Linked DNA regions of Nothobranchius furzeri. The protein of the gene in region 1 interacts with the protein of each later gene in a pairwise test. Links are inferred from orthologs where the notes say so. Each region holds a gene or a part of one and is shown on either strand. Other genes may lie near its edges.

What was found.
Region 2: the proteins of traf3ip1 (region 1) and sfr1 interact in a two-hybrid assay, tested with the Homo sapiens proteins (2 studies listed by BioGRID and IntAct). The link is inferred for Nothobranchius furzeri from reciprocal best matches to the Homo sapiens genes TRAF3IP1 and SFR1.

The regions. Positions count from the first base shown.
Region 1 is NC_091754.1:2,496,114-2,507,356, reverse strand, and holds the start of traf3ip1 (TRAF3-interacting protein 1), read left to right. Parts: upstream 1-4,808; 5' UTR 4,809-4,907; coding exon 4,908-5,030; intron 5,031-6,584; coding exon 6,585-6,653; intron 6,654-7,275; coding exon 7,276-7,437; intron 7,438-8,220; coding exon 8,221-8,346; intron 8,347-8,450; coding exon 8,451-8,807; intron 8,808-8,899; coding exon 8,900-8,977; intron 8,978-9,130; coding exon 9,131-9,154; intron 9,155-11,243. Other genes in the region: agr1 (anterior gradient 1), read right to left, coding at 113-189, 3,141-3,193, 3,348-3,411, 3,562-3,698, 4,130-4,233, 4,713-4,808.
Region 2 is NC_091752.1:33,769,386-33,779,178, reverse strand, and holds sfr1 (swi5-dependent recombination DNA repair protein 1 homolog), read right to left. Parts: upstream 4,159-9,793; 5' UTR 4,033-4,158; coding exon 3,934-4,032; intron 3,838-3,933; coding exon 3,532-3,837; intron 3,453-3,531; coding exon 3,264-3,452; 3' UTR 3,165-3,263; downstream 1-3,164. Other genes in the region: cfap43 (cilia- and flagella-associated protein 43), read left to right, coding at 1-57, 147-266, 351-458, 578-664, 741-829, 912-1,086, 1,178-1,290, 1,410-1,572 and 4 more. UniProt on the Homo sapiens protein: Component of the SWI5-SFR1 complex, a complex required for double-strand break repair via homologous recombination. Acts as a transcriptional modulator for ESR1.

The sequences.
Region 1 (11,243 bases):
GTAAGAATCTGGTAGGGGGTGACTTGCTCTTTAAGTAAAGATGATTTTTATTTTCTATAATCTTTGCATGCTTTGAATATTTGGAGGCCAGGTAATAAAGATGCTTATTTACCACCAGGTTGAGCATGATGAAGTCCTCTTTAGCCATTTTCTGGATGCCCTTATCAGCAACAAACACCTTCTTCAGTGCTGTTAAAATAGTTTAGACGTTATTGTGTTTGTGCACGCCACGAAAACATTACTGGTACTTTTTATTTGCCCCAGAAAATTCTGAAAATGTTGCACACATTGTTCTCTGCAGACGTGAGTGTAGCAGGGTGATCGTTTGCAGCTGGGGGATGCTGCTCAACCAATCACCTGTTGAGGGCGCCCTGTTTTAAGGGCAGGGGTTTGTTCCCTCGGGGATCGCCTCTCACTAACCTTGGCGTTATAACCCAACCCTTACCCTAACCATAACCCTGAAACAAACAGAAAAATTGTGCCACACATAATATTTTCTACATTTATATTTATGCTAAACACACATTTTTGGTGACTGGGTGGTTAGGGTAAGGGTGAGGGTTATTTTTTGTGATTGGGTCGTTTCCACTTGCAGCTGGGTGCAAAAGAAACAGATCTCGAGGGGGGAACACATATCGACGTAACACCTGTTCCGCTTGACATCACCTCCTAGACTAGACTAGTGAGACTCCACTCGGGTCCAGGAGGACCACCTCTCCGGTGTCTCCAGCAGCAAGAACTTTCCAGCTGTTTAACTCTTCAATGTGTGTGGCGCGCATCTGAGCGAGACTGATTGCTCGTTTAAAATAAATTATTTAACTTTATTTTTATTTATTTTAGACAGCCTTCAACTCCTGGCTGGTGAACTAGCAGATTGTCCATCTTTTTATAACACGTTTAGCCAACTGCCTGCTTTTGTTTTTGACAGTTTCTTTCTTTTATTGCAGGCTGTTTGCTCCCAGTGGGGTACCATCGGCCTTGGTGGTGGGGAGTTTTCCACATATGTGTGTGTGTGTGTGTGTGTGTGCAGGGACGAAATTTTGATTTCAGAAGTGGGGGGGACACAGCAGGCTTGTACGGATTTGGGGTGGGGGGTGTTATGTAAATACCCCTTGACACGTCACGTGCCCATCTCAATAATTTTTCCATCCTCATATATATATATATATCAAAGTTAAAAAATGTACAACTCTATTATTATTTTTATTTATTATCATTATTGAAGTGCAGTTTTGGCTGTTGACAATGGATAGGCCATTGTATTTATTGTTTTGGGTCTTTTTTGTTGTTTTTGGTGCAACATTTTCTAACAGGGAGTGAGGTTCTTTTTTTATTCAATTTTTGTTTGTTATTTTTATTCATTTAGAAGTTCTGGTTCTGGACATTTCAATGTTAAATGAAGGTTTATTTGTTGCATTTTAAAGGGTGTACTTGCATTATTATGATATATTAACATTATATTAGTGGTTATTTTGGTCTAGATAATGTTGACAATATCGTTTATCATCAACAATTTGTTGGACAAAATATCGTCCAGCAAAATGTGTTACTTTCCCAGGCCTAGTCAAAAGTATAAAAATTATTTATACATAAACGGTCCCTCCTGAGATCTGGCCGTTTGTTCATTTGCTGTGTTAGAGGACATGCTGAACTAATGTTTTACACATGATCATCACCCTAACATTTGAGTGTATAAAAACATATTAAATATGTTTTTTCCCTTAAAAGTGTTTAAACAGTTGTTGCATTTCAACACACAAAAAATAAAAGGAAAAAATAAGATAAATCTAATGAAAAGTGTACATCTTTGACATTAAGCTCTAAAAATCTGTTGACGATGATGATACTGTTCATTTTTCAGAGCTTTTTAATGTGAACATATACATTGCAATAGATAAGTTTACAATAAAGTTAAATGATAAAAGTTTTGAAGTTACACTTCTACTACTACTACTACTAGTAATAATAATTATGATGATAATAGTAATAATAAAAATAATAATAATTATAATAATACGAATAAATTGTGTCTGAGGAGTCAGTTATGTGGAGGAGATGAGTTTGTAAAAGTTAGTTTTGAGTATGTTTGTGAAGGAGGAGGTCAGTCTGAGCTTAATGCAGCGGTGTCACATGTTCCAACTTACGTTTAGACTTTGAAAGAAGTCTCTTATATCCACTTTTCGTTTTCTTGACATGCTGCCGCCTGGCTGTGCCTAACTACCAAAGACTCACAAATGAACACTTATTCAAATGTTATGTAGTGGAAGCTGAGCTGAGCTCTGATATTACACAGCGTCTAGTTGACGATGTGACTCAGTACCGGTGTTCCCTAGCGGCTCCAAACTAGCAAAACAACGTGAGCACGTTCTGACTGTTTCCAACTTGAGTGACAGCAGCAACAGCCAATAATACGTTAGCAAGTATCAGCAGAGCCAATAGATTAGCTTTTGGGCGGGTCTAATAGTAAACCGGTTTCCGTTTCGGTCCTAGTGCTCAACTAAATCCATTTAATGGAGCGTAACATTGTTTTTGGACGGAAAAAAGTGCAGGGGACCAAAACTGCCTTTTGAAAAAGTGGGGGGGACATGTCCCACCCGTCCCCCCCCCCAAATTACGTCCCAGTGTGTGTGTGTTCCTTCACCATGCACCTCCTGGATGCAGGCCACTGTGACGGGTGACTTTAGTTTGGTTTGGTGAAAGATTCAGCCTGTTCAGGTTAATTCAGTCTTTTCTTTTTCTTTTATATTTTAATAAAAGCACATCTCCTGCCTGATCTGTAGAGTGGACCTGTGTCTTTATTTCCTGGGGTGTTACTCCCCAGGTGGTGTTGCAACTACAGCAACCCCGGATGCCACATGAGCAAACAAAACCCAGTTGTTTAAAGCCTGCATCAAACCGAGACGGAGATCTTCCCTGCTAGAGGTCGTTCTCATCGGCGTGTTGTAGGTGCTCACTGAGCTCACCAACAGGAAACCAGCTGAGTGATTAATGTGTACAGCTCTACTCCAGAGCACACATTCAGGAACATCTCACTCCCACTGAGGCCAAACCCACCACCTGGACGGGACGGCTCGTTCGAGGTGCTCGGAGAAAGATGGTTAGAAGATCAAATCAAACAAGAAGCAATGTAAGAGCGGTACCTTGACTGTGTGGGCAGCTGTCTAGATGATGGATGACCATCAATGGTTTCTGACTGGGAGAGTGAAACCACAGGGAAACAGCTCAGCATACTGATGGTTGTCAATAACGACTAAAGTACTGAGAACATGAGGCACCATGCATGGATTTCAACGATTGACTGATATTGCATAAAGAGGAGCTATAGCACAAAAGAAATGAACTCTTACCTTTTTGTCATTTCTTCTAGGCCCTCTTCATAACTTTTGACCCATTTGATATTATTCCCCCATCCTGAACAGAAAATACATTTAAACATGTCCTGTTTGCTTTTATTGCGCCCTTCACAAGCTGAATTCAAACTCAGGTTGTGTGCTGGGACTAAATCGGTCAATCTGACTGATGAATGATCAGAAACATGGAGGCTGAATGAGAGCGACCCACCTTTTGACAGAGATGGAGCCTTCTCCTTCTTCTTCTGTTCTTCTGCAGCGGCACAAGCGCCGATCAGCAGAGCAAACACAGCCCAGTGAAGCATCTCCTCGTCCTCTGGAGAACCAGACAGCTGAATAAGGCGTGCACTTTTAAAGCACAAAGCATTTTTTGAACTCTTACACCCGCAGAGCTCACTGAAGGGCTTCAGCTCTGAGTCACCAAACAAGTCTGACAGGCCGGCGCGATGATGCCGCGAAGGAAGCTTGTTTTATGTTACTATTATTTTTATATTTTATTTTATTATGGATGACATCATCACAGCTGTTTACTGTAATCAAAATAGGAATGAGTCTTAATGTATTAATGCAGCTTCTTATTTAATCTCAATCCAATGAACTATTGTACCTTTTTTTCTTTTTGAAAGAAACAGCATGTAACTTTGCAAGCCCTTACGTAGCATTAAATGGTTTAAGCATTACATTTCTATTCTGAAGAGCAGCGAACAACTTTCCAGCTGAAACTGAATCTGAATTTTCTGATTTTTGGCTACTGAAGTCACTCGTAGTGGATGTCTTACCTGTCCAGCGTGAAGCAGCAAGCGTCTGTTTGAGCTGTTCTTCTCACCTTACCTTTTGTCAGACTTTTAACCGAACTTGCCAAACGGGTAAAACAAGCATCCTGCTTTAAATGAAACACAAAGAAAGGTCTATGACTTATATGAGACATATTTGCATGCATGGGAAGTTTGGGCACACCTTCATACGATTTCATAATTCATACTTTCATAAATAAAATTCTTTGAAACACTGACTCTAAATGTAGTATTAGTGCTTGTTTAATAAATCCAGTTAGAAAATGCTTCATTAATCCCAGATGGAAATTAAGTGTTGTTGTGAATAAGGAAACAATAATAAAAACAATAAAATTTAGGTATCTATCTATCTATCTATCTATCTATCTATCTATCTATCTATCTATCTATCTATCTATCTATCTATCTATCTATCTATCTATCTATCTATCTATCATCTGTCTGTCTGTCTGTCGGCCTAATCTTTATTTATTTTTGTTCTTGTGAAGCACGTCGTGGTTTTTATCTGGAGATGCGCTGTATACACGATCGTTTTCCTTATTTCGTTTCTTTCTACATAGCTAGCTACCGTTGCTATGGACACAGAACACCTAGCAACCGAAAGCCTATGGCGCATGCGCAGCTTTCGTTCGCGGTGCACTGTGGGATTGTTGGATATTGACATAGCAACGGAGCCCCAGAGCCGCCTAGCATTCGTGTTTTAGACCAGTTTTCGCCCCTTTTCTAGCAGCTAAATTGTTCAGTTGGGATTTCATCTGCCGCCATGAACGCAGCGGTGGTGAAGAGGACTCAGGACACGCTGGGGAAAGTCATAAAGAAGCCGCCGTTAACGGAAAAACTGCTAAACAAACCGCCGTTTCGTTACCTTCACGACATCATCAGTGAGGTGAGACCGACTAAGGACAACAGTTACGTTTAAAGACATTTTATAAAGTTAAAAACTGTATATGAAGCCCTTGCGTGTGCTTTATTATCTGTGTCCATGAAAGGGATAGCTCTAACCGGACAACCCTCACCAGGAGCGAGTTAGCTTAACCGCAGCTGTTCAAAAGCGGTATCACTGCATTTCTCCTCTTCAGCACCCAGAGCGAACACGCGTTAAAGACAAGCAGCTGCTAACGTTCATTATTATGACTGTACATGTTTAGGTTGTACTTGCTTCACACCTGCTGCCGAGCAGCTGACCACAGCTGTCTTGTTGGATGCATAAGTTCTGCCTTTTTGTATTTAATGTACAGCAACATTTGATCGACATCTAGATGTTAGATGTTTACAAACGTAGGATTCACCAGTGTAAGTCGTAGGTCTGGATAAATATTAAAATTTGTATTTTATTTGTAGTATCAGCTCCAAATAATGACAGTGTAAATGTCAAAAAGTATTATTATTTCAATGATTGTCCCTTCTTAAGACAAAACTTACTCTTGTCTAAGTAGAAATGGCAGAACGAGGGTAAAACACAAAGGCAACATATTTTGTACATCAAACATTTTCCTGTTATCTTCTGGCAACTGACGTTTTCTGAATAAGGAAAATTTAGAATATTTAAGATTTTAAATAACCAAAAACCGGTTTAAAATACTATTTATTTGAATAATGTATCTACACAAGAATTAGAATCATAATATATTGTAGAGTGCAGTCTGTCGTACTGTTTGTGTTTGGGGCATCATTAGATGCTCTTATTTTGATGAGCCACTCTGCTGTTTTCCTGATTTATTTTTGACTGACGAGCATTTCCTAACTGAATGAGTATTTGTGCAGAAAAAGTGTGTTTTCATTATTTACCTAAATTATTTAGGTTATTATTCTTCCCATAACTGAGCATCTGTGTGTGTGATGTGTGTAGAACAATATGACGTCAGCTTCTTGTGTTAAACCCTTTTTCTGCTCATGTTTGTGTAAAAAATAAAATCGTACATTTGTGTTTGTGTACATGCTTAAGAAAGCAGAACGGGTATTCACAAACAGGATATATTAGCAAAATGTATATAACTGCATGAACTAAATAATACATAATATATAATGTAATTTTAAAAATATTTTCTTTAAAAGCATGTTTTTTTTACAATTAAACTCATATTTTAACTCTTTTCTTTAACAGATTAGAGACTAAATCTATTTTCTAAACAGAACTGAGATCTTATTCTCTCACCACACTGGTTGGATGGTTTTATGTTTCACTCTAGCTTTATTTATAATTAATTGAGGTTAGCATTCCTATAGCAATATTCTTTTATCTGACTAAAGGAATTCAGTTGTTTAAGACATACTTGATTGAAAATTAAAACATTTTGCAGCCATAAGTCTGCTTTAAGCTTGCTTCCATAAAATCAAAAACATTTTGTGTTAACTTGTATTAGAATGATGTAGGTTTTGCAGAAGCACCTATAATATTTGTATAATAACAGTAAACCTTTATTTTCCTCTTGACTCTAAGGTAATCAGGAGCACTGGTTTTTTGAAAGGCCTCTATGGAGAAAATGAAATGAAGTCAGATAGTGTAAAGGTAAGCTTACTCTTGCTATATTTACTTGATTTTTGACCTTTTTTTCCCCTGAAAAGACTAATTTGTTCAGGATTACCCCCGTGTGTTTTCACTGGGCAGCCTGAGTCACCAGATACGCCGTCTGGCAACACTGTGAGCTAGAAGATCTGGCAGGCAGAGACTGAGTGTTTGTCGAGGTGTCAGAATGCTAGTCTGCTATTTGCAAGGCGATCCTTGATTAGGACTGAATGAAAGAGAGCTACACCGAGTCTTCTCTGCTTACAAACGTAGCTGCACGCTGCCCGTTTCTTACTAGTGAGAGAAATGAGTTGTTAGTGTTGTGTTTTACATTTCCTCCCTCGAACAACGAGGTAACAAGCGGTTAAACCCAGTCACTCTGGGGGTAAGATTCATATTTCAGTTTCATCACTTCAGCTGTCAGGAGTGCAGAGAAGTCAGTTTGACCAACAAGTCCTCCTGGTCTTTGGTTTATCAGTTTACTGACCTGCTTTTGCACAAAACAAATGATGTCATCATTTCTTTTTGGTATGGAACCAATTTTATTTAGATTTTGCCTTTAATCAGTTTATATTTTAAATGTTTTTGTCTCGGTAACGGCTTTTTTCATTATATCTCATTCTAGGAAAAGGACTCAAAAATAACCTTTCTTCAGAAAGCGATAGATGTCGTGATGCTGGTGACCGGCGAGCCTCTGGCGGCCAAGCCCGCACGGATCGTTGCCGGCCATGAGCCGGAGAAAACCAACGAGCTGCTTCAGGCCATCGGCAAGTGCTGCCTCAATAAGGTCTGCATCACACACACACGCGCGCGCACACACACACGCACGCACACACACACACACACACACACACATGCACTCACACTCACACACACACACACACACACACACACACACACACACACACACACACGCGCGCGCACGCACACACACACACACACACACACACTCACACTCACACTCACACTCACACTCACACACACACACATGCACTCACACTCACACACACACACACACACACACATGCACTCACACTCACACACACGCACACACACACACTCACACTCACACACGTGCATATGCATGTGTACGCACTCACACAAAGACACAAAAAGTGTTTTTTATATTGTTTTTATGGGAATTCATTAAAATAAAACTCCATTTTTGTTTTTAACAAACATTTTTTCCACTCCTGGGAAATGTTTTCTTCTGCCTCAGGAGAACTCTGACACACCCTGGAGGTGGAGGTAATGAGCCACTTTCCTAGGGACCGTTGTAAACAGTTCCTGGTGCTTTAAATACATTCTCACTGCAGCGTATGCAGCGAGAATCAGAATATTTGTGTAGAGCACTGAAGGTTGTAGCATCATTTTCTTTTTTTAGGCCATAAGTGTGAAAAAGGCAAAAACACACAAGCTAAAACAAGTGCGTGTACAGATGACGTAAGAGGGGATGAATAAGAATACATTTAAAATGTGTGTTATTTGTGAAATGTTGCCTTTCAACTTAAAAACACGATGAGGTTTTTTCCATCCTCCGCTTTGAGGATCTTTACTGTTTGGTCTGCAGTTGTCCAGTGATGAAGCAGTGAAGCGAGTGCTGGCAGGAGACAAGGTGGACTTAAAAACCAGAGCCAGCACGTCCAAGTCTCAGAGTAACGACAGGGAGGGACGCAAACACACACAGAATGATGAGGTGAGTAAAAAGACTTTTCTATACTTTTCCAATAAAAAGTTATGTTTCACATATCTATCCTCATGATCGGGTCCCCGTCCTTACTTTGGTTTATATAATATCAGGAAAAGAAAAAGGCAACCGAGCGCAGCAGCAGCGAGGACCAGAAGGACGCCGAGCGGCCCCAAAAGCCAGAGAGTCAACGCAGAGATGAGAATAAAGAGCACCAACGGGACCGTAGGCGCTCCGACAGGAATCACCGCGGTGAGCAGCAGCATCCCGCCAAAGGCCACGACAAGAGCAGGGACCGGGAGCAGGACAAAGGACACGCCCGGGACAGGCACAAGGAGAAAGACCGCGACAGGGATCGAGGCAGAGACGATCAGACAATCAGAGAGAGAGAATCTCACAGAGACAAACACAGAGAGCGGCAGAAAGACCAGGAAGAGAGAAACCCAAGTGACGAGAGTAGAAACGACAAAGTATGATGCTTCACTCCACTTCTGTCCTAAATCTGAGCACTGATCACTCACACAAAGTTTGTTTGTTTGTTTGTTTGTTTGTTTGTGTTCAGACCAGAGAGGCAGACAAACTGCTGCAGAAACTCGGTCCTGAAGAGCAGAGCAACAAATCAGCCACCACAGAGCCAGTGGTGAGTCTGCGTTGGGTTTTACGTCTGCTTCTGTACGCACCTGTTAGTAAAAGGCCTTCGGGGGGATTCAGAGCGTTTCTGTGGTGTTAGATGTGTCCGAGTTTTTACTGTGATTCCTGAAAGCCACACATCTGTGTTTTTTTGTCTGTTTAGCCCTCAGAGGTAGAAGAGAATCAGGTGAGAATGTAACCAGCGGTGTGTAATCCTAACCCTAATCTGGCGATGAGATAAATATCACAATACAGACGATACGTCGTGACACTAAAACCCCGATTAGACTGAAATTCATTGGAAAACTCAGATCAGACTCTTCCAGTATTATAACAGTATGATTGTGAGATCTCGTTGTTCCGTCAGAGTGGAGGCGGTGGAAGCTGCTGCCACCTTGCAGTCGGAGTTTGAATTGCACCGCACAAAAATACAGGTCCTTCAAAAAAAATCTGCATATTGTGATAAAGTTCATTATTGTCTGTAATGTACTGATAAACATTAGACTTTCATATATATTAGATTCATTACACACAACTGAAGTAGTTCAAGCCTTTTACTGTTTCTAATATTGATGATTTTGGCGTACAGCTCATGAAAACCCAAAATTCCTGTCTCTAAAAATTAGCATATCATGAAAAGGTTTTCTAAACGAGCTATTAACCTAATCATCTGAATCCACTAATTAACTCTAAACACCTGCAAAAGATTCCTGAGGCTTTTAAAAACTCCCAGCCTGGTTCCTTACTCAAAACCACAATCATGGGTAAGACTGCCGACCTGACTGCTGTCCACAAGGCCATCATTGACACCCTCAAGCAAGAGGGTAAGACACAGAAAGACATTTCTGAGTGAATAGGCTGTTCCCAGAGTGCTGCATCAAGGCACCTCAGTGGGAAGTCTGTGGGAAGGAACAAGTGTGGCAGAAAGCGCTGCACAACGAGAAGAGGTGACCGGACCCTGAGGAAGATTGTGGAGAAGGACCGATTCCAGACCTTGGGGGACCTGCGGAGGCAGTGGACTGAGTCTGGAGTAGAAACATCCAGAGCCACCGTGTACAGGCGTGTGCAGGAAATGGGCTACAGGTGCCGCATTCCCCAGGTCAAGCCACCTTTGAACCAGAAACCGTGGCAGAAGCGCCTGACCTGGGCTACAGAGAAGCAGCGCTGGACTGTTGCTCAGTGGTCCAAAGTACTTTTTACAGATGAAAGCAAATTTTGATGTCATTCAGAAATCAAGGTGCCAGAGTCTGGAGGAAGACTGGGCAGAGGGAAATGCCAACATGCCTGAAGTCCAGTGTCAAGTACCCACAGTCAGTGATGGTCTGGGGTGCCATGTCAGCTGCTGGTGTTGGTCCACTGTGTTTTATCAAGGGCAGGGTCCATGCAGCTAGCTATCAGGAGATTTTGGAGCACTTCATGCTTCCATCTGCTGAAAAGCTTTATGGAGATGAAGATTTCATTTTTCAGCACGACCTGGCACCTGCTCACAGTGCCAACACCACTGCTAAAGGGTTTACTGACCATGGTATGACCTGAACCCCGTAGAGAATCTGTGGGATATTGTGAAGAGAAAGTTGAGAGACGCCAGACCCAACACTCTGGATGAGCTTAAGGCCGCTATCGAAGCATCCTGGGCCTCCATAACACCTCAGCAGTGCCACAGGCTGATCGCCTCCATGCCACGCCGCATTGAAGCAGTCATTTCTGCTAAAGGATTCCCGACCAAGTACTGAGTGCATAACTGAACATAATTATTTGAAGGTTGACTTTTTTGTATTAAAATCACTTTTTTTTATTGGTCGGATGAAATATGCAAATTTTTAGAGATAGCAAATTTGGGTTTTCATGAGCTGTACGCCAAAATCATCAATATTAGAAACAGTAAAAGGCTTGAACTACTTCAGTTGTGTGTAATGAATCTAATATATATGAAAGTCTAATGTTTATCAGTACATTACAGACAATAATGAACTTTATCACAATATGCTAATTTATTGAGAAGGACCTGTTCAGTAAATGTTTGTAAATTCTCTAAAGAAAATGGGTACGCTGCTTTTAAATATCGATTCACAAACACTGCATATTGTGATATTTCTGTGTGTTGCTATTTTCTTACATCCCCAAACTTAACAGTAACTAAGAGTGGAGAGGAATCAGCGAAGCTTTTCTTCATGTCCTCTTGTTCTGAATGATCTAACGGGATCAGTGAGGTTAACAAACACAACAAATGATGTCATTAATGATGATCCGTTCTTTCCATGTCTGGTTTTCCTGTT
Region 2 (9,793 bases), on another chromosome or scaffold:
AAAGAGCATGAAGAGAAGATCAGAGAAACCAACCAGCAGAAGGAGAAATACAGACAGGTGTTACAGAAGATGCACTCATGACTAATATTATTATTTATTTCTTCTTGGTGATCAGCATAAATGAGCTGTTAGCTGATGTTTTGCAGTCTTTGGAAGCTGAAATAAAACAACTGCAGGAATCCAATCAAAATGCCGCCAGAAAGTTTGACGAAGCCCTGGTGAAGCTGTTCAAGAAGAAGTTTCTGTTTACAGCAGCTATATACCAGGTGAGCCGCTTCGTGTGCAGTAGAAAAAAGGGTTCTTCTCCCTTTGAATTTAGCTCTTCCATGATTATTTGATGTGTTTTACAGGAAGAGCTAAGGGTTTACTACCTAATGGACTCGCTGTTCACTGAAGACCAGATGAGGAACCAAGAGCAGGAGCTCAAGCTCCAACATGAAAGAACATTGGCACACAAGGTCGGAGAAATGTTGTAGGCCACTGTGAAAACATTGCTGCAGTGTTTTAGTGAATTCCAGTCTGCTGCAGAAACATCTTTATCTTCATCTTTACATCGTCGCCTGCGTTTCTCTGACAGAACGAATGTTGTGAGGAGGTGAACAGATACCAACGTGAGGTGGAACGGCTCAGGGAGGAATCCGAGCACTTGGTAAAAACCAACCAGGTAAGCTGGTTAAAATACTGAAAATGTCACAGCTTGAAGTGACGGATGTGATTTAATGCCATCACTGTCTCTGCAGGCGTTTGAAAAAGACTTCAAGAAGGAGTTTAAAGACGTGTCTCATCATTTGGTTGATGTACTTTACAAGCTCTTCAAGCATAGACCGAGGTTCGGGATCCTGTCGGCGTAACTTCTATTTCAAACGCGTCTTAGGTACACCTCAGCTTATCCAGACTGCTTCCTGCCTCAGGGTTCAACAGATGAGAGCCCAGACTGAAAACAGGGAGCCTCTTCCTTCTCCAGTCCAAATGCAGACGGCTATGGAGGAGCTGGATGCTCCAGGAAACATGCCAAAGGGTTTGAAACCATCCGTCTGGAGGAGGTTTTGCCAAATGCGCAGAAAAAAAGTAGAAACCGAGTTGAAGGTAAAACAAGAATGAACGAGTTTGGGTCGTTGCTTCTGTCCGACAGTTTAACTGAAATAATGAAGCAAACGTTTACGCTGTTGTTTCGCAGATAAAAACAACAATCTCCACTCTTGCTGAGATGCAGGCCGTCATTGTGAAGAGAAAAGACAAGGAGAAAGCTTTTCAGGGGGAGTTGGAGAAGCTTTCAGAAGCGCTCAAGAGGTTTGACTGATTCATAATCTGATAATCAGCAGCTGGATTAGAACTCCAAAGCTGACAGGTACTGGCACAACACGTGGGTTTGAAGAAAGCTCATTTCTTTTGTTGCTTCTTCGTTGAAGTTTGCACAAAGAGAGGAACAAACACCCGCTGAACGGGGCGGTCCTAGTTAGACTCAAACAGGGACAGGTGGTGTCCCCCTTCAACAGGACAGCTGACAGCACAGGCACCGACTTCATCCTCTGTCACAGGAGTGTGAGAGACAGCAAGAGACACACAATCACGGTTCGCATTGATCCCATTTCATTGCTTTCATTTTCTATCGACTATATCTAATAAACAGTTTTTACTGTCAGGATCTTGCAACAGCGAAGATCGCCTCTACGGAGCGTCTCCAAAGTATTCGTGAACAGATAGTCCAGCTGGAGTGGGAGCACAGGGTGTTAAATAAGACGGCAGAAGACCTCAAAGACAACAAGAAGGACATCAAGATGTTTCGACTCTCAAAGGAGCAAAAAGAGATGAATGTAATTTCATAAAAACATGCAACTGTCTGGACTCACAACTCCTGCTGTACCTTTTGCTTTTTCTCCTCCTGGCAGGGGTTTTCTTGCTGTTTTGGTGAAATGCTAATCCTGTTAGCATGTCTGGCCAAACGCCTGTCTGTGATTTCAAGGCAGGTATTTTGGTTTTGGCAGCGTCGGGTGTTTTTTTCGTGCACAAAATTGTTACCATCTCTCCGCACAGATGGATCATCTTTTATAGAAGACTCACACCCATTTTTCATAGAGCCTCCCCACCCTTTCTCTCCAGCATTTAAACCTCTTACCCAATAGAAAGATTCCTGTGGAAATCGTTGCTCTTTGCTTTGTTTATTGCATTTTTGTGCTTAACTTTTTAAGGAAAACTTTTTTTCCGACTGGATAATATTTAGCTCCTGGCCAGAAAACATGCTCTGTCTTATGGATGTTTTAAAAATAAACAGAGCACATTTAGGTGGTTCAGAAATGAAAAAGCACAAGCTGAGCCATCTGTTAAAATTTATTAACCAACTAAAGAACACGGATGTGTTTTGAGGCGGTGGTGCCAGTTTCCTCTGGCAAAGGGTTCAGGTAATGTTTGTGTTGTGCGGCTCTTAACTTCCTGACATTGTTAAAACCCCTGAAACCATGCAAGAGGAAAGTTTTGATGAGTAGGTTTATTAAAATATTTAGAGCAGACACAAATTAACTTGTAAAACTTTGCAGGTGCTCCTTTTTTTTTTTACAAGTCAACTTCTATTCCTTCCAGTTTTGCAGCAAAGAGGAGCGAGAGCATCGCATGTCTGAGCAAATTGCCAGTTTGGAGAAAACTTTGGCAAAAAAGGTAACAGCGAAGTAATACTTTGTACTGTGCTCTGTGTGCTTTTTAATATTCATCAGTGAAATAATACACATTTATTCTCAATTTCAGACTCTTCAGCAGAGTGCTCAGCAGATGTTTAAAAAGATTGCACTACTTAAGAAAAAAGCGGAGGAAAAAGCAAAGAACAGCCTCAGCTTAGAGCAGCAGATTCCTGACTTGCAGGCGACTTTGGCAGAGCTTGTGAACGACAAGGGAACAGGTAATAAGAAAAACGATCATTTCAGATACAGAGTGCACACACTGGAGCGGCCTTCTAATGATGATGTGGCTCTTTAGTTATAGCTGCAGACGAAAATGCTGAGAGAAATGCCTGCTACCAGGAAACCGTTCAAAGGAGTAACTTGGAGAGCCTTGCCAGGGAACAGGCAGAGGAACTGCAGTTCCTCTGGGAAGAAGTTGAACATCTGAGGAGGAGGAATTTCCCGTGTTTTGATCTGCCGAAACACTACTGATTAAAAACTTTTCTTCAAAACTTAGAACATGAAATGTACTTTTATTGTGAACGGGAATTATAGAAACACCAAATAAAACTTGCAGTTGTGCTGACTTCTCTTCAGTGTGTTTGTGGTTAATTATGTAGTGAAGTCCTCTTCAGTGCGATCAAAGTGCAGAATGCTGTCCTCCAGCCTGAACAGGTCCATGAGCTCTGACAGGCTTGCCTTGCGTCCATCCACAGGGACCTCTGACTGCAGCTCACACAGAGCAGCCTGAGCACCGCTCCGCCACTTGTCGATCAAGGTTTGCAGCTGTGTTAAATCGTTCTAAAAAAACAATGACTCGTATTAATTCTCAGCCTTGGTGATCACAAATAAAGAGGATGGGGTTAGAAGTAGCTGATACCTTGCTTCTGTACATTTGGACCATCTTGAGTCGGCGCAGAGTCTCTGTTTTTTCTTTCACCTCCTTTCTGAGTTGTTGTGCAACGTCTCCAGAGGAGACAAGTGTGGGTCCGGATAGCCTTTCGCTTCCTGCGTTATCCCTGTTGTGTACCGAGACCGGAGGATCGCTGCCCGTTTCCACTGAAGCTTGATGGCCACCCTGCTCTCCGCTGTCCACGCAGAGGCGTTTGGCCACCGAGAGGGGCGATGTGAAGGAGCGCCTGGTTCTCTTCAGCCTCTCCCTCAGAGAGGAACTCGGCTTCGGATGCTATCAGAGAAACCCGACATGAATCAAGCCTGAAACGTGTTTTAGATTATGATGTTAGCTAATAGTTTACGCACCACTTTAGCTAACAATACTCACCTTTTCCTTTCTAAACTCCTCCGATGGGCTTGACTCGGCTGAACTGTACGATAAACACCGTTCAGTCTTTAATTTGTCTCCTTTGGGAGTGACATCCATCGGTAAAACAGACTTACACTCGTAAAAAATGACTTTGTAGCGCGTTCACAACACAAAATTCTGGTTTTCCGTATTTCCGCGGGTCATGGCCTCCTGCGTGTGTGATTGGTCAGAATTTGATTACGTAAAGCCGAACGGAATTCTGGGAGTTGAAGCCTTTAGGGTAAAATGCATTTAGGCTAGACTTTTATCTTTGAAACCTTTTTATGTGACAGACACAAATAAAAAAACGTTCATACGTTTCAATTTAATTGAAAGATTGAAGGCAGTGCTTAGGGGACATAGGAGGACTATTTTTTTTGCTAAATTTAGTATTTGTTTTATTTAAATATGTCATATATTTGTATACTCTTGTGAATTCGTTCTGTGTGTAACTTCAATATCCATTACTTTGTGTTTTTTAACAAGGCTTAGTTTAAATAAATTTAATTTTTATTCCCATAGGTAAAAAACTTTTTTTTACTAACTTGTGTAAAAAATAACGAAGTAATGGGTCCTATTTTGTGTTCTTTTTTATGCTAGAAATCGGCATTAAAAATGTTAACTAAAACACAAAACACACACACGTTGTGATCGCTCACTTCATAAAAAATTATCACAGGACTGCCCTTCAGCATTTAATGTGTTTTAAAACTCGAGCATACACTGAAGCCACACGATCCTCCTTATGTTTAACTATAATATTTCTTTTCAGTTTGAGTTAATTTCAGAACAAATTGAGATTTTCCATTAAACCCGATGCGAGACAGGACCGCTCCTGCGGGATTAAATGGATAACCTTTTGCACTCAAGCAAAGCACAAAGTAAAAGTGATTTCTAAGGGCCGGCGGACATGCCTGGTACATGCTGCTCTTACTAAAGTTGAGTCATAATTTGCTTCACCCCTTCCCATTAGCTGATTCATCTCTTTTACAGCTACCTATTTATAACTCTTCAAGCCCTTTAAGAGTTTTTTTTCCCCACTTGTATATGATAACTCACTTTTTTGTGTGTGTCTATGCGGCCACGGGGTGTGTGAAAATGTAAATTATGATGCTGCCTGGACTTGAACATCAGTTCTTGGCAGGGCGATATTACACACCCAAGGGAGCTGGGGATTTTTTTACATTTTATATGGATGATTCTCAGAGGGCTGAGGGCTGAAGATAATTACTGTGTGTTAGTCAGTAGACTGTTTGCAGTGTTTTTTTTTTTATCTTACCAAGTTGACATAAAATACTTTGCTCTATTCCCAGAAACAAACATGGAGTAACTGGTGGGGGTTTATTGAATCTAGAGGCGATGTGAGACTTTGAGGATGCCAGAACCTTCATCACATTCTAAATAGGCCACTTATTAGTGCAAATGTGTGCTTTATTTTTAATTTTTTTTGGTGTGTTTTTATTCTGTACAGTGTCCTTGAGTGACCAGAAAGGCGCTTTTAAATAAAATGTATTATTAGTAGTAGTAGTACAAATGTTATGTATGTATGCCATGTTTTAGCAAGCTATCAGTTCCTGATGATGTTTTTTTTTACTCTTTGGGAGACATTTTCAGGCTTTTCCAGTGGAAGAAACATGACACAATATGCAGTTTTTCCCTGCAGAAATGAATTTCCCTTTTGTGGGATTAATAAATTCTATTCTATTCTATTCTATTCTATTCTAATGCTACACCAGTCATCTCAATACTTTTCAGGCTTTCACATCGGCATCAAGACGTGTCAACTGGAAACGTGGTGAAAGAATCCTTCATAAGACAAAGACAATGTTTCTTGGTGGTGCTGATTAATAATGGATGAAAAGAGACATGACATGTTTAATCTTGCTAAGATCTGTCATGTGTTCCCTTATCACTGGTTCCTCCTTTAAATTACAAGAGTCTGTTTATGTCGGAATATTTAAGACATGCATGTCCAAAGAGTGGCCTGGGGGCCATTTATGGCCCTCAGATTAACTTAGTGCTTTTTTAGAACGATGAATTTATTCTCTACAGCAGGTTGTGAAACTGGAGTTATACTTTTATGCTTTTATGTTTAGATTTTTACTAATATACTTATTATACAATAGATCTACTGTCAGGATTTTAAAAAATCACCAAAAATGTATTTAAAGAGCAAGTCACCCCCTACCAGAGTATTACTCCACTCCCACTTCCTGTTTGAAAAATGCAACAAATGCTGTTGCCTATAGCAGAACGAGAGGGCGGAGCCACTAACAAACACACACACAGGCTCACAACGACATTGTGACATCATATGGTACCAGCTAACACTCTAGGGTACCTCTTAGCCAATAGCGATGGCAGATTTAAATTCAAATGCAGTGCAGAGTTTTTACCTGACAACGCACAACACTGACAGTTTCAGGCAGAAAATTAAAGTTTTAACTAAAATGCACTAAAGTGCAAAACTAATGACTTACATGTGTCTGCAGCGCGATTAAACACACATTTCTATAGTTTATCAGAAAAAAAGGTAGATTTGGGGGTGTCTTGCTCTTTAAGCATTTTTTAAGGGTAAAGGAAGTAAGAACTTTACTGTGAAATAATCACAAAGCAGTCTAATGTCTCAGTCATGTTGGAAGGAAGGTTACATTGAAACAGACTTCTTTCTCAAGAAAAAATTTCTCCCCGCCCCCCCCTCTCCTTGCAGTCACCGCCTCTAAACTCACGATTCCTGTCGTTTCCTGACAAGAATAATAAGTTTGCTGCATGTCTTTGAACTCCTTCAGTCAAGAGTGTATTAAAGTGTCTGCTCCATGTCTGTCACTAGATATGTTCAGCTCTCGCTTTGTTTATTTGAGGGGGGAAGATGATGCTGCTGATGCCGTTAAAGGAAGCAGCATACTAACCAATCACAGGCTCGTGGTCTTTGTCGCTTTTGATGGATATTTAGAAAAGGGTTAGAGAGAGGTCTCGTTTGTTTTCATAAATAGACTGCAGTACCCAACAGGATGTCATATTTACTTCATGCACCTTTAACTTAGAACAATCATATTCTCGAGGCCTGCAATAATTAAATAGACAATTTTGGCCTTTGTCTTAAAAAGTTTGGACACCGTTGATTTAATGGATCAAGTGAACAAATACAAATCTGAAAATGGAACCAAAACCAAAGTAAAAAGAAAGAAAACATTAAAAACTCTTAAAAAAACACTGACCAAGAAAAAGTAAAAAAAAAACATGTTGTTTTTTATATATCATAAAGTGACAAAATAGTCCTTAAAATGATGTTTTCTTCCTATGTGAAGCTTCTTTAAACACTTTCCCTTTGCTTGTTAGATGGCAGCAACTGAAAGGGTTTAAATTGGGACTAAAAACAGAAGTAATTTAGAAATAGCAGCTTGACATTCAGCCTACTGACTGTTGTGCCAGCTGGATGGTTGGGTTACAGCTACATACTTTCAAAATAAACCCTCATAATGCGTTTCATACTGACCATAAATTCTACTTTACACTTTGTTCTGTTGAGCCCTTTTGTGTGCATGTTGCCTTAAAGCTATACTGCTGATTGTTGTCATTTAAATTTCAGTGATTTACGGTTTTATAATATTTATTAAAATTCAGAAAAATTGCCATAATTCATGTGAAATTGCATTTTGGCGGGGGGGGGGTCAAATTGATTAGCAAACAATAAAAAATAAACTTTAATTTGTCTTTATTTCCTCGTTGGAAAAATAAGATTAACATAGAGACACTGATGACACCAGTTTATTTCTGAAGCACATTTAAAAACAGCATGGCAGCTGACCAATCTGCAGTACGGCTACAAATTAAAACACAATATAAAAGCAAAAACACAGTCAATCCTAACAATATATAGCAAAGCAGGTAATCACAGTCATCAGTAAGAATACATAATGACAATAAAAAGTCAGGGGTTTGGAAACGCCAGGTCATAAAAGTAGGTCTTAAGCTATGACTTAAACCAGGGAAGGGATGGTGCCTGCCTCACTGAGAGAGGAAGAGCATTCCAGAAGGACGGAGCAGCATGCACAAAAACACGCTCCCCCCACACGTTATATTTCATAGTCAGAACGTGAAGCAGCAAATGATCGGCGGATCTCAATGCCCAGTTTGGCCATGAGGATTACCTCACACTTGGAGTCATTCAGCTTCAGATTATGGTCAGCCAGCCAGTCCCTCACTTTAGTCAAAATGGTCCAGAAGGGAGAGAGCACCTGGTTTATTCAAAGCCAGGTATCTGGCAATCATCTGCAGAGGTGGTAGTGCAGGCCATATTTTCTCAAGCTAGAACCCAAGGGAAGGATGGAAATGGAAAACAGGAGATCCCCGAGCACAGATCCCTGCGGCACTCCGCAGTGGAGTGGGAGGCATGGAGAAGGGCAGTTACAAAACAGAACCTTAAAAACTCTTTGACACGTAAGAGCCAAACCACAGAAGTGGGGTACCCCTAAGACCCACCCAAGTCTCAATTTAATTGTCCAGCTAAAGAAAAATAAACAAGAACAAAGTTTAAAAATAATCCATGTGCCTTTCTTTCAGAATGTGGCCTTTACGGTCCCTAAGCCAAGCCTCCACAGCAGGAAAGTGTTTATTATACCAGAGAGGTTTTACCAGCTTAATTGGGAACAAAATGTGAGCTCCACAAAAAGCTGGAGTCAGTTTTTATCTCTTCCAGCGCACACAAAGTTCCTCCACGTGAGTTCAGATGTACACCTCTCTGACTGATTCATTTTATAAGTATTTTCTAGTTTTTATGAGAGGAATTTCTGCAGCAACTCTGGTGAATTTCCTTTCCAAACACCCAATGGAAAACCAGTTTTTGACCATGAAGCCTTTGTTTCACCATGCCAGGAAATGGATCAGTGTGTGTGTGTGTGTGTGTGTGTGTGTGTCACATTATCTTGAGGGCTGAGCCGAGACTTAACCCATCACAAATTCCCTGGAAGCTGCTGCCCCTATACTCTACAGATTTATCAAACAGGAGAGCATTGCTGGACAATCACTTCCTGTTTCTACTTCACCATCCTGGAATCTGTTGCTGAGATTTTTCTACCTCACACATGGATGAGAGCGGAGCAGCTTCTCCTCCGTTATTCTATCCTTGGGGCCATTTGTTTTCCATGATTTGTGCAGATTAGACTCAAACTGGCTGTGAGTCATTGCAGGGTGGGTGGATGTCTCCACTGGGTGTGGTGTGGTGCGGGTGAAGGGAACCTGAGGACGCCTGTGGCTCACAGCGGAGGAATAAAACGTCTAATTTGTCTCACGTTGCATAAATGTAAATGAGCAGATTGGGCACATTTTTTACAATTATAGAGTTATAAACAGCCCTCGTTCCCTCTCATTTGGGAGTGCATGTGGTGGAAAGTGTTTCATGCTGCAGCTTCTGCAGAATCACAATTGTCACATGAAAATTATGAGAATCCGAATAGCAAACAGGGCGATGGACGCTGATCATGCTGCAGCTGCAAAAGCAATATTTCTGTCAGGAAAAGTTGCTCTGATTATACTTTTAAACCTAAAAATGTGATTTTTGCATTGCGAGACAGTTGCGTTTGACATGGAAACCTGTAGCTCAAAGGTTCAGCTCCTTCTTCCAATATGCACACCAGATGTGCACCAACTGCGCCAGATTTACTGCAAAACTAAGCCCCCCCCCCCCCCCCGAAAAATGAAAGGTAAAAAACAAAGAAAAGAAAAAAATCTTTCCTTTTTCTCCTCCTCCACAAAACTTGACCAGTTTGAAAAGTGGTGACTGAAACAGAGAAGCAGCAGCAAGAGGAGGAGTTTAGCGCATTTCTTTTGCACACTGGAC